2 linked regions of the Sus scrofa genome follow. The protein of the gene in region 1 purifies or fractionates together with the protein of each later gene. This does not show direct contact. Links are inferred from orthologs where the notes say so. Each region holds a gene or a part of one and is shown in the gene's direction. Other genes may lie near its edges.

The links. The genes of interacting proteins can lie anywhere in the genome.
Region 2: the proteins of SAAL1 (region 1) and SLC27A2 purify together in Homo sapiens (co-immunoprecipitation; 3 studies listed by BioGRID and IntAct, with this or other methods). This does not show direct contact. The link is inferred for Sus scrofa from reciprocal best matches to the Homo sapiens genes SAAL1 and SLC27A2.

What each region holds. Positions count from the first base shown.
Region 1 is NC_010444.4:41,026,479-41,032,991, forward strand, and holds the start of SAAL1 (protein SAAL1), read left to right. Parts: upstream 1-2,194; 5' UTR 2,195-2,241; coding exon 2,242-2,373; intron 2,374-3,956; coding exon 3,957-4,070; intron 4,071-6,513. UniProt on the Homo sapiens protein: Plays a role in promoting the proliferation of synovial fibroblasts in response to pro-inflammatory stimuli.
Region 2 is NC_010443.5:121,528,521-121,535,042, reverse strand, and holds the end of SLC27A2 (very long-chain acyl-CoA synthetase), read left to right. Parts: intron 1-2,520; coding exon 2,521-2,651; intron 2,652-4,123; coding exon 4,124-4,300; 3' UTR 4,301-4,594; downstream 4,595-6,522. UniProt on the Homo sapiens protein: Mediates the import of long-chain fatty acids (LCFA) into the cell by facilitating their transport across cell membranes, playing an important role in hepatic fatty acid uptake.

The sequences.
Region 1 (6,513 bases):
CTCTTCCCCCAAAGAAAACAGCAGTCCCAGATGATTCTGCTTACAAATTTAACCCTTCAAAAAAGCAAAATTTTTTTTTGTAGAAACAATTCTGCAAAGTAAAAGAGAAAATACTCCTCCATCCTTTCTAGGAAGATAGGAATATTTGACACTATGAAAATCAAAGGAAAATATAAGCAGCAAAACTTTACATAATATTACCAATAACAAGTTGTGAAAGAAACTTTCAGCTAACAATAATAATTTCAAAAAATTTAAACAACTATGCTAAAGACAAATTACCTATTTTTTGTTATAGAAAATCATCTTACAAGGTCCTTGTCATAGAAAAAGATGGTTAAAGCAATCTCAGCAAAAATTATATTTAAAAAAGATTGTAAATAGGCAGAGCACAGTGGATTTTTACATCAGTGAAACTAACTATTCTCTGTGATACTATACGGTGGATATATGCCACTATGAATTTGCTAGATCATAGAATGTACAACACTGAGCGAACCCTAATGTAAACTACGGACTCTGGTGAAAATGATGCACCAATGTAGGTTCATGCATTGTATCAACTGTTGCCTTTTTTTTTTTGTCTTTTTAGGGACACACCCACAGCATTTGTAGGTTCCCAGGCTAGGGGTTGAATCAGAGCTACAGCTGCCGCCCTACACCACAGCCACAACAACGTGGGATTTGAGCCGCGTCTGCAACCTACACCACAGATCACAGCAACATCAGATCCTTAACCCACTGAGTGAGGTCAGGGATCGAATCCATGTCCTCATGGATCCTAGTCCGGTTCATTAATGCTGAGCCCTGAAAGGAACTCCTCATTGTATCAAATGTTGTTTATTATATCTGATGGGGAATACTGGTAACGGTGGAGGCTAAGCATGAGTGGTGACAAGGGTTCTATGGAAAAATCTCTGTACCTTCTGCTTATGATTGCTGTGAACCTAAAACTGCTCCAAAAATAAAGTCCATTAAAAAAAGAAAAAGGATTGTGGAAGTCTGCCAGGCCACTTATTAATAAAAACAGTTGGATATTTTTCTGAATTTCATTTTAAGGTATTTTTTGGCTACTTAAAATTGGTAATTTGCTGTGATTTCTTTTTTCTCATTCTAAATAAATATTTCCTATTGTAACTAATTTAATATTTGTACGTTTGTACTGTTCTCCCTAAAAGGGGCTTGTGAAATTGCATAATTCAGGCCCCACAAAACTCGGGTCTGCCCCTGCACATAAGATGAAAAAACGTTTATAATTATTTGAGCCAAGGATCCAATTGTATTTTATGTACTAACAGAGTGTTTTTTCTCCAGTTTTAATATACTTTAGAACTTCTACAAGTGCTATTGCTGTGTAACTGGAACTTAAATTCAGTAGAAATTTTACCATCATCTGTTCATGATTTTGAGAAGCAGGGTCCTGATGGAACCACAACTCTGTCATTCGGCATTTACAAATGTTGGGCTCACAGTGCTTTAATGTATATGGAACAAAATTGGAGATTTTTATTGTGCCTTCTAGCACAGTTGTGCCTGAACATTTAAAACATTAACATACATATTATTTAAATTAATTTTATTTTTGGTTTTTGTAAGGAAACCGTATTGAAATTATTGAAATTACGTGTTGAGGTAGGTTAATGATCTGTAAATTTCATTTCGTTAAAGTTAAGTGGTATCATTAAATATTTGCTGTGGGGTGCAGGGGAGCACTGGGTTTGAGGTTGAGTACCAACCGACGAAATAGAAGCAGGAACTGAATGTACAGGGAGTTGTCATACTGACGTTCTTACTGCTGACTTTCGTCTTTCCCAGGGTTCCGATCACACCTGGGGGAAGAATGAAACGGATGAGAGTGGTAATATTGCCCAGAGATCAGAGAGCGGATAGCTTTGCATCTGTACCGGTCATTGTCCTGTTTCCTGCCTTCCACTCTCGTCCCTTCCAATCAAGCTAAGAGCTCCTGGAGACATGGAGTAGCTGGTTCAGTTAGGGTGACAAACAACAATTATGAAAATAACTGCACTGAGGTCCTGGATAGAGCGTTGAGGACCATCAAGTCTTTCCCAGCCTGATGGGCATATTGGGCGGACCCTTAGCCTGATGGGCGTACTGGGCCGCACTTAGGGTGCCGGGCAACAGGGGGCGCTGTGACAGGAGCCGCGCCGGGCCCTCTGGCACCTCGAGGCCTCTCGCCTCCTCCCGCGGCTTCCGGAGCGGCTCCCGCGCGCCAGAGGCGTCATGGACAGAAACCCTTCGCCGCCGCCGCTCAGTGGGGACGAGGACAAAGAGGAGGCGGCCGGGGGTGACTGCATTGGCAGCACCGTGTACAGTAAGCACTGGCTCTTCGGCGTCCTCAGCAGGCTCATCCAGGTGCGGAAACTCGCGCCTCTCATGGGCTCATCGTACGTTCCCCTAGACTCTCGCCCCGCCTCTGGCGGCCCCCTCCAGCCTTGGGAGCCGCGGTCCCCACGGCGACCCCTTCCCAGGCCCCAGAGGCTGGGTCTCACCCCTTGCGTCCTGGCGGTCTCCGCGGACCCCAAAGCTGCCGGGATCCACTCCCTGTTACGCCCAACACAAAAGGAATTGTAATTGCAGGGATGCTGAATGCTTGCAGTTAAAATATTTTACTTTTGCAAATTTTCCAAAAAACATGACCATGTAAACACATTGCTAGGTTTTTGCTCGCCATTCCACTGTAATTCTGGAATCCCAGGTCCTAACTGAGAAATCTCTTGGACTTAAAGTTGTAGAATAAATGCCGATTTTGAAGTCGTACAACCCAGATACCAAAAGCGAGGCTTGCCCTGTGTGACTTTGAGCAAGTCGCCTAGCCGATTTCTTTCTCGGTTTCTATAAAGTGGGATGATAACATATATGTTATTTTATATAGGGTTAATGTGTAGATGAACTAATATTATAGTGGTCATAGAGTGCTTACCATAGTGTTTGCCTTACAGGAGCCTCTCAGTAAATGTGAACGTTCTTATGTTTCCCTTACTTTTTCCCCTACTTCCAATCACTGTCCTCTCTAGCGCATCTTCTACACAGCTGCCAGAATTAAAAAAAAAAAAAAAAAAAGTTGTCCTTGGGAACTCATCATACTTTCCTTTGCCTTCAGGAGAAAAATGCAGCTTTCTTTGCTTGGGCTCTTTGCAACATTTTCAGATTCACCTGCCCATGACACACTAAACTGTTCAACATTCCCCACACATGCTAGGCCCTTTCTTGATTCTGAACTCTTGTATTTTCTTCTTACGCTCTTCTCTCTTCTTCACATGAAAACTCCACTTCCTCCTCAGAGATTTAGCCTCATTATCACCTCCTAAGAGAAGCTGGGAAGACTTCTTCCAGACTTAGGTCATTGGTCCATCATTTTTATTCTTACAGTTCTTTGTCCGTAATTCATTTGAATCTCTTTGCCTTTTCTGTTGTATCAGTTTGTGTGTCTTTTCCCCACTAGATCCTAAACTATTTGAAAGCAGGGGATTAAATCTTATTCATCTTTGCATTTCTACCCCAGTGCCTAACAACAGTATTTACCCAAGGTACCCAGGGTATTATTATTATTATTTTTGCTTTTTAGGGCCACACCTGCGGCATATGGATGTTCTCAGGCTAGGGGGCAAATCGGAGCTGTAGCTGCTGGCCTACACCACAGCCACAGCAATGCAGGATCCGAGCCGTGTCTGTGACCTACACCACAGCTCACTGCAACGTCAGATCCTTAACCACTGAGCGAGGCCAGGGATTGAACCTGTGTCCTCGTGGATGCTAGTCAAATTCGTTAACCACCTCGCCATGATGGGAACTCCCTAATTTTTTTTAAAATAAGCTTTTTACAAGAGAAGATATTTTGAAGATGCTGTCTTTGTGACTTCTAAATGATTTGGGGATATCATTACTTGAAAAGTACTGTGGACAGCCTTTATTCATCTCCATTTGTGTTTCTGAAGATTGTTAGCCCTGAAAACACCAAATCCAGCTCAGATGATGAGGAGCAGCAGATGGAGCTTGATGAAGAAATGGAGAATGAAATTTGCAGAGTATGGGATATGTCAATGGATGAGGTACGGTTTGGAAATGAAACTGAAAAGACTGTTGGGTAAAGAGGTAGTGAATGGATTTTTTTTTTAAAGGTTCAGTCCCAAAGTCTCTGGGAAAAAAACTTTAATACCTGTAGTTATTCCTATATATGGTACAGGAAATGAGGTCCCAGGAGCTATAAATGCTAAACCTTTGTCTTTGAAGGTAGAGAATCTGAGTGACCTTACATTTGGGCCGCTTAGATAGTTCTCATGAATGCTGCAATACTTGTAGCCCAGGGAAGGTCTCATACTTACTTGCCTAAAAAGAACACTGCACTTATATTTGAGAGCAGGTTCAGAGTTAGGAGACCACTGATGCACCACAATTAAATTAGAAGAAAGAGACAAGAAAGAATTACATGTATATAATTGCAGTTATATTTTAATGTTTGTATCGTATTCTATAGCTTGAAGGCATTTTCATGTATATTCCATTTGCTCTTCACAGTAAGCCTGTAATATTGGTAGTAACCTTAATTTACAGATAAGAAAAGGGGTGTTCCCCTTGTGACTCAGCTGGTTAAGAACCTGACAGTGTCTGTGAGATGAAGGTTCATCCCTGCCCTTGCTCAGTGGGTTAAGGATCCTACATTGCTGCAAGCTGCTGTGCCGGTTGCCGCTGTGACTTAGATCTGGCGTGGCTGTGGCATAGGCTGGCAGCTACATCTCTGATTCAGCCTCTAGCCTGGGAACGTCCATGTACCACAGGTGCAGCCCTATAAAGAAGGGGAAAAAAGAGAGACAAAGAAATTAATTGATATACTCTCTCATTTTTATAACCTGGGCTTTTGCTGTAGGTTCCCAATTAAAATCCTGTGTCTCTTTCATCTCCCTTCTGTCCACATTGCCACTCAAGTTTTCTTTTTCCTAAAACACAGATTTAATTGTATTCTTCTGTCTTAAAATTCGTCAGTGGCTACTTATTGTCTTCAACTTTTTTTTTCTTTTTATAGCCGCATCTGTGACATATGGAAGTTCTCTGGGCTAGGTTTGAGTTGGAGCTGTAGCTGGGGCCTACACTACAGCCCTGGCAACACTTGATCTGACCAGCATCTGTGAGTTATACTGCAGCTTGTGGCAGCACTGGATCCTTAACCCACTGAGTGAGGTCATTTTTAAGAGCAACTTTATTGAGATATAATTGACACACAAAAAACTGCATATATTTTGAAGTATAATTGAAGTATTAAACTCTGTATTTAAAGTATATGATTAGGGAAAAAAAATTTTTTTTTGGCCACACCTGCAGCATGTGGAAGACCTGGGCCAGGGACCAAACCTGCATTACAGCAGTGACAATGCTGGATCCTTATCCCACTAGGCCACCAGGGAACTCCAAGAAGAATTTTTTGTAGGTGTCTGGCTCTTTCACTCAACATCAGTATCATCCAAGTTCTTGTTTACCTATAGTTTATCTATAAAAAACAATACTTTGTGGAGTTCCCGTCGTGGCGCAGTGGTTAACGAATCCGACTAGGAACATGAGGTTGCGGGTTCGGTCCTTGCCCTTGCTCAGTGGGTTAAGGATCCGGCGTTGCCGTGAGCTGTGGTGTAGGTTTCAGACGCGGCTCGGATCCCGCGTTGCTGTGGCTCTGGCATAGGCCAGTGGCTACAGCTCCGATTCGACCCCTAGCCCGGAAACCTCCATATGCGTGGGAGCGGCCCAAAGAAATAGCAAAAAAAGACAAAAAAAAAAAAAATAAATAAATAAAAACAATACTTTGTATTGCTAAGTGGTAGTCCATTATATGTTTATATCATATTGATTCATCTGTTCACCTGTTGATGGATGTTTGAGTTTGTCCAAGATAAAGCTGCTGTGAACTTTGTATAAGTATGTATGGACATTATGTTGTTTGATTTTTAAAGAAAAGATCAAATTGTTTCAAAGCGTTTTTTTGTTTTTTTTTTTCTTTTTAGGACCACATCTGCAACATATGGAGGTTCCTGGGCTAGGGGTCGAATTGGAGCTGCAGCTGCTGGCCTCTACCAGCCTTATTGTTTGTAGACTTTTTGATGATGGCCATTCTGGCTGGTGTAAGGTGGTACGTGTAGTGGTTTTGATTTGCATTTCTCTAATAATTAGTGATGTTGAACATCTTTTCATGTGTTTTTTGGCCATCTGTATGTCTTTTTATGTCTTTTTTAGAGAATTGTCTATTTAGATCTTCTGCCCATTTTTTGACAGGGTTTTTTTTTTTTTTCGGTATTGAGCTGCAGAAGATGTTTATAAATTTTGGAGATTAATCCCTTGTCAGTGTCTTCATTTGCAAATATTTTCTCCCATTCTGTGGGTTGTCTTTTTGTTTTGTTTAGGGTTTCCTTTGCTGTGCAGAAACTTTGAAGTTTAATGAAGTCCCATTTGTTTATTTTTGTTTTTATTGTCATTACTCTAGGAGGTGGATCTGAGAAGATATTGCTGTGG
Region 2 (6,522 bases), on another chromosome or scaffold:
TTTTTAAAACACTAAATTCTGAGAAGCACAGAGGCCTAGTGGTTCTAAAAATCTAGCCAATCCTCAGACTCATCTGGGAAACAATTTAAAGCTCAGACCTCTGGGGTTTGGGACTCAATTTTTGTGTCTTTTTTTAATTCACAAGTGGGTCTAACAACCAGTAAAGTTTACAAGCCAGAGAACAAAGAGGAGGCTAATGAGTTTCAGTGATTGGAAGACACTCAGGTAGAGCGTCAGGTAGAACAGGGTGCAGACGTGATCATGTTGCTCTGGCGAGCAGAATGAAAACTGATGGATTGAAATGACCAGGGAGCACAGTTTAATCTGAGAACTCTTCTGTAACCAGAGGGACCAACAACAAAACAGGCCACCTCCTGAGGTAGACAATATTCTACCCACTGGGGCGTGTAAGGAAGCTGGATGTCCACTCGGGATCCTGTGAGAATTCTCACAGCCCTGAAAGATTACACTAAATTCTCCCCTAGCTTTCAGATCCTATGATTCTCAATCCCACTCTTTCAACCTAGAAATGTGGCAAGTCTAAGAGTAAGGCATTAGTCCACCAGGGTGATTCTCAGTTCCTAAAGGCTGAGCAAGGCTGAGCAGATCTCAGCTTCAGACTAGGAAGGAACTTCTAGGTTTGGGCCTAGACTACATACAGATGACTTTTTCTGGGTGTCACACCAGAACTACCCAACTACTCTCTAGAACTTTATATTATCAATAGTGCTTTCCTTTTTTCTTTTTAGGGCCACACCAGTGGCATATGGAAATTTCCAGGCCAGGGATTGAATCAGAGCTACAGCTGCCAACCTACACCACAGCTTGTATGAGGCCAGAGGTTGAACCCACAGCCTCAAGGATGCTAGCTGGGTTCTTAACCCACTGAGCCACAAGGGGAACTCCTCAACAGTATTTTCTACAATGATGAAAATGTTCTATATCTGCACTGTCTAATAAAGTAGCCAAAAGCCACCAGATGGCTACTGAGCACTTGAAATGTGGCTATTGCAACTGAGGAATTGAATCTTTCATTTTTGTTTAACTATAATGTTAATAGCTACATGTGACCAATGGCTACTATATTGAATAGTGAAGCCCTGATGGCCCTGATGAAAAGACCTAATCCACTACTCTACAAAGAAACCCTGGCCAGAACTACTGCAGACAAGAACCTTCCACCTCAAGCTGAACTAGCCCCAACCAACCTCTGGGAGTCAGGCCAGAGGCTTGACCCCCAATAGCCCCATTGACCTCTCAACTGGGCAGTGCCTCTGCCAGTGCAGGGCACAAGGAGCCACTGATGCTGAAGAGTTCTGTTGCATCAGCCTCTGCTTGAATTCTAAAAAGGGCTGATTGGAAACATTCAAGTTTCCCGAGTCCAGTACCTTTGAGACAGCTACCAGGGACCTCTAGAGAAAGAGGGTCCAGTGCCCTGCTTCTCTGCTAAGAGGCAAACCAAATGAGGATGCATTTCCTTTGTTATAACTTTCCTTTTGTTTTCTGCCTTCTTTAGAGTTATAGGTAAACACACAATCACCATGGGAGAAATTTCGAAAGCTGGGGCCCAGGTGACCAAGGGCGGCTCCTCCCCCATCTCTGATTACAGTTAAGTAGTTCAGGGAAGTGGACCCGGACTCCCACTGGGTCTACTGGATCAGGTAGAAGATAGATTAATACGTAATTACCACTGTTCTCACAAGAAAACAATGGTAATTGTTCTGAACACCTCTCCACTTAAGGCCCTGCCTGACAGGGAAGAAAACTGTTCAGCCCTCTTTTCTCTGCGGAGAGCACAGCCTCCCGGGAACAGAAAGCATCCAGTGCTCACCCTTGATCTCACCTTCATCCTCCTGTCCTGCAGCTTCTCTGAAATGCAGAGGCAAAGCTATTAGGAAGCATGATTAAATAAGTAAGTCTCAAAGGTGAAGTTTGTCCCTGGAAGCACAACAGACCTGAAACTGTAACTCAGGCACAAGCTGAGCTCATTTATTCATGACAGTGGAGCAAGACTTATTCACCAACATCAAAAAATTTCCCTTAGCCACTAGTTCCACCTGTTTGCCACTTGGGTGTTTATACCTTGGCTGCTAAGAAGGATGATGGTGACAAGCATAGGATCTGGAGACAGCCTGCCTCAGTTCTTTTCTGGCCCTGCTAGTATTTGCTACGTGAAGTTGAACAAGGCTTTAGTGTCCTTAAGTCTCAGTTTCTTCATCTGTAAAACAGAGATAATATTTGTACCTCTTCATAAGGTTGTTAGGGTTAAATGTGATAGTACATAAAACACACTGAGTAAAGGGCCTGACATATAATATTCAGTCAATGTAAAGCTGTTACTTTGCTGTTGTTATCATTATATTCACTCTGGAATAACCCCCACATGTATTTGATAAAAATTCCAGCTATCCAAAAGAAGCCCAGGCCATAATCCTGTCTGAGTTCACCGCTCTTTAAACTAGCAAAGCATCATAAGTAAAATAAAGAGCTACAAGTCAATTTTTTCTCACTTATCTTTAGGTCACGAAGGTCGAATTGGCATGGCCTCAATCAAGATGAAGGAAAACCATGAATTTGATGGAAAGAAACTCTTTAAGCATGTGGCCGATTACCTGCCCAATTATGCAAGGCCCCGGTTTCTAAGAATACAGGTGAGACCTCTTGTTATCAAGTTCAGCTATCCTCCTTTTTGGAGACCCCTGCCTCTTAGGAAACAATTCCCCTTCTACCATGGCGACCACATTAGCCAAATTTTCACTACCCTTTTCAGGAAGCTCAATAAGGAGCTTTGGCTCAGCGGTAACGAACCCGACTAGGATCCATGAGGATGCGGGTTTGATCCCCGGCCTCATTCAGTGGGTTATAAAGATTCAGCGTTGTGGTGAGCTGTGGGGTAGGTTGCAGACACGGCTCAGATCTCACGTTGCTGTGGCTATGGTGTAGGCTAACAGCTGCAGCTCCGATTTTACCCCTAGTCTAAGAACTTCCATATGGCATGGGTGCAACCCTAAAAAGAAAAAATAATAATAGTAAATAAGGAAGAAAGAAATATTAGAAAATACAGCTAGATGAAACCAAATCCTAATCCCTTTCTCCCTAAAATGACAGGCAGTTCATTCAGCAACAGTGTTAGCTAATAACTCGCAAAGTCTGTTTGTTGAGGTGTAACAGACACATCAATCAGAAATGCTCCAACCTTCTTATTTGTTGTTTCCAGTTTTAAAGAATGGAAAAATCCACTGAAGTCCTCTGCCTTTCTCTGGAGTGAAATTTAACTGGGCATCATTAGCCAGTAGTAATTACCAAAGGCTAAACTATTAGCAATAGGATTTTTTTATTTCTCAAACATTAACCCTTTAGTTAAATACTCTCACTTTTGGACCTTAGCTGAAGATTTGAGAAGTGTTAGATTAGCAGATATTGCTAAGGTTATATGGTTATACCTGCTGCTGTTCTTAAAGCACTGGCATTTGCTTCACAATGAGATGGTTGAAAGACATGAAAATTGAAATATCCTCAAATCATCTCCTATTTATTGAAGGAGAAACCAGTCTTCAGTCTAACAAACAGGCTGAAAAGACTGAGTTGTCTGTGTGTAGATGATCCTTAGTCCCACCCCATCGTTAATCAGGATATTCCAGTGATATCTGAAGCTCACCAAGCAACAGACTTCTCTACTCTGTATTCCACTGTCAGCTTCACTTCTCCCCAGGTGACCCTAAAGCTTTAAGAGAAGGAAAACTACTTCCACAAAGGGCCCCCTAGTGGAGGTTCTTTTTTTTTTTTTTTGGTCTTTTTTGTCTTTTGAGCCGGCAGAACCCACACACATGGAGGTTCCCAGGCTAGGAGTCCAATTGGAGCTGTTGCCGCTGGCCTACGCCAGAGGCACAGAAACACCAGATCCAAGCTGTGTCTGCAAACTACACCACAGCTCACAGCAACGCCGGACCCTTAACCCACTGAGCAGGGTCAGGGATCAAACCCTCAACCTCATGGTTCCTAGTCAGATTCATTTCCGCTGCCCCAAGATGGAACTCCTAGTGGAGGTTCTGAAGATAGGCTGTATTGGTATCACACAGAACTCACTTCCACAGCTCTCAAATGACCATTTGGTGTTTTTCAGGACACCATTGAGATCACTGGAACTTTTAAACACCGAAAAGTGACCCTCGTGGAAGAGGGCTTTAACCCTGCGGTTATCAAAGATGCCTTGTATTTCTTGGATGATAAAGCAGAAACGTATGTGCCTATGACTGAGGATATTTACAATGCCATAAATGATAAAGCTCTGAAACTCTGAATGTTACCAGGAGGATAACTTAGTGTATTTCCAGAAAGAACATGAAGGGACCTACCCAGTACAGCCACTTGATATAATCCAACTTTAATTTGATTGACAGTTGTGAGGTGCAATTTTTTTATGCACACCAGGAAGGGGAGACTTTTTTAAATTACACCTGAACCTTTGCAAGTGAAAAGATTTAGAGATAATTATTTTTCAAATTGGCATCTACACTTTGTATTTGCAGACTAAGCTTGTTAGAGGAAGGATGTTATTTTTTTAAATATGTAATAAAATAGATGAACACCAAGAAATGAGATGACACTGTCTTTTTCCTGACTTGATTCTAAATGCAAATCCTGAGGCCGACAGCCTCACTGGTAATTTTCACAGGTGTCCTGCTTACAGTGATAATGGTATGCTAAGAAAAAAATGGCAAGGAGTTGAGAGGTGAGAGGGTAGGAAGTCCAGCTCTAGTGTAAGGCCAACCCTCCCCCTCTAAGAGCATCCTGACCATTGTCTGCAGACCAGACAGCATTAGCCAGCAAGTGATTATGCTGCTGATAGTCTCTGAAGGAGCCTAAATCTAGAGCGTCAGAGTTTTATACATAAAAGGTGTTCAGTAAATATTTTTTAGCTGTATCAAGGGTTGCACATCCAAGCGTCTTCAGGACTCATATTAGTGATGTGGATGAGAAAAGCAGGTCAAAAATGACTATGGAAAACTTGGGGGACAGCCACTATGCAACTTCAGTCAGCTTATTTCCGTGAGGCTATATAGCCCACGTGCTTCAGAAATCCTCTGATTATTCAGAAAACAGAAATCCAGGTATTTATGTGACTCTCCCAATTTTTCATCTGTAAAGTCTCGAATTTTTGTAATGTCCATGCAACCCAAACAAAATGTACCTGTGCACCAGCAAAGGCCCAGATGTCCCACTAGCAGCCCCAGTTCCAAGTGCTTCTCAGGCCAGAGCTGGTTTCATTCCACATCCGGTCTCCAGCCAGAGAGCCTATTCAGGGACTGCAGGGCCTTTGGCATGGCAGGGGATGGTTTGGGGACTTTGAGGATCTCTCTCAGACAGACTTTCTGAGGGGAACTCCTTAAGCTCTTCATGGGTCAGTCATACAGAGTTCCAGGAGCAAGTCCTTGGTGGTGGCCCTCAAGATGACATGTTCCTCACTATCACTTGTTGTAGATCACAGGAGCATCAAGGGCACTAAGGTCACATCTAGAAAGTGTGAGTTAAGTTCACCCCAGCCTCCTTAAAGGAGGTGACATTTCCTTCCCAAGAACACCCTCAGAGACCAGGAGCTTCAAAGGAGCTCTAATTCTCCTCAATTTTGTCCCCCAAAAGCCCCAGGCAAATGTATTCAGGGGTCTTCAATGATATATGATGACGGGTGGCCATCCCCACCCCCAACATAGTGTTAGAAATATTTTTAAACTCTCTCCGCTCTTTGAAGTGACTCCTAAGAAGACTCGTGACCAGAATCCCTGCCCTTGCTCATTAGACCCAATAATAAACATTTCTTGAACACTTACTATGCATGAGGGACATGAGAAGCAGCTAAGGATAACTCTGTCACTACACCTTTGAGAATTTTCCAATAATTTAGCATAATTTCTGCTTGTGAGTCAGCATGGGGAATTTTTGCAAAATTCTAGGTTTCTCTGGCTTTGATTTATTGCTCTCCCTTTGAGAATGTGAACCCATGTGATGGGAGGTGGGACAGCCTTGGCTTTTGAGAGTATAACATTGTGCAATTGTGCTATTTGGAATCTTGTTAAAAGTGAGTCAAGCCATAAGCAGAGATTCTATTAAAGCAGTGAGGTCATTCTGTGTCACGAGGGTTATCTTTTTGGGTAAAAGGGCAGCTCTTTCGCCACTAGCCTGAACGATAGTGTTTCAATAACCAAAACCTGCTGGGGCCTGACTACCTTTGACTCACATCTTAGACTTTCCATTTAGAAACTGTCCCTCCCAGCCCAGTGGCTTCCTCTGTCTCTCACTCCCCCAAACCTCCATGGTTCAAGCTAGGAATCAAGGCTCTATTGCAATGGATAGAGGCACCAGCACAATATCCTCAATACCTGGGTTTGCACATGTGTAAACAAAATTTAGCCATCTTGTGACCAATAATCAACTGATTTTTTTCTTTTAAAAGGGTCAAAAATTCTGCCCATAGAAAGCTGTACAGATCATCTTCTTCATTTGAAAGCACAAATGGATTTTTTT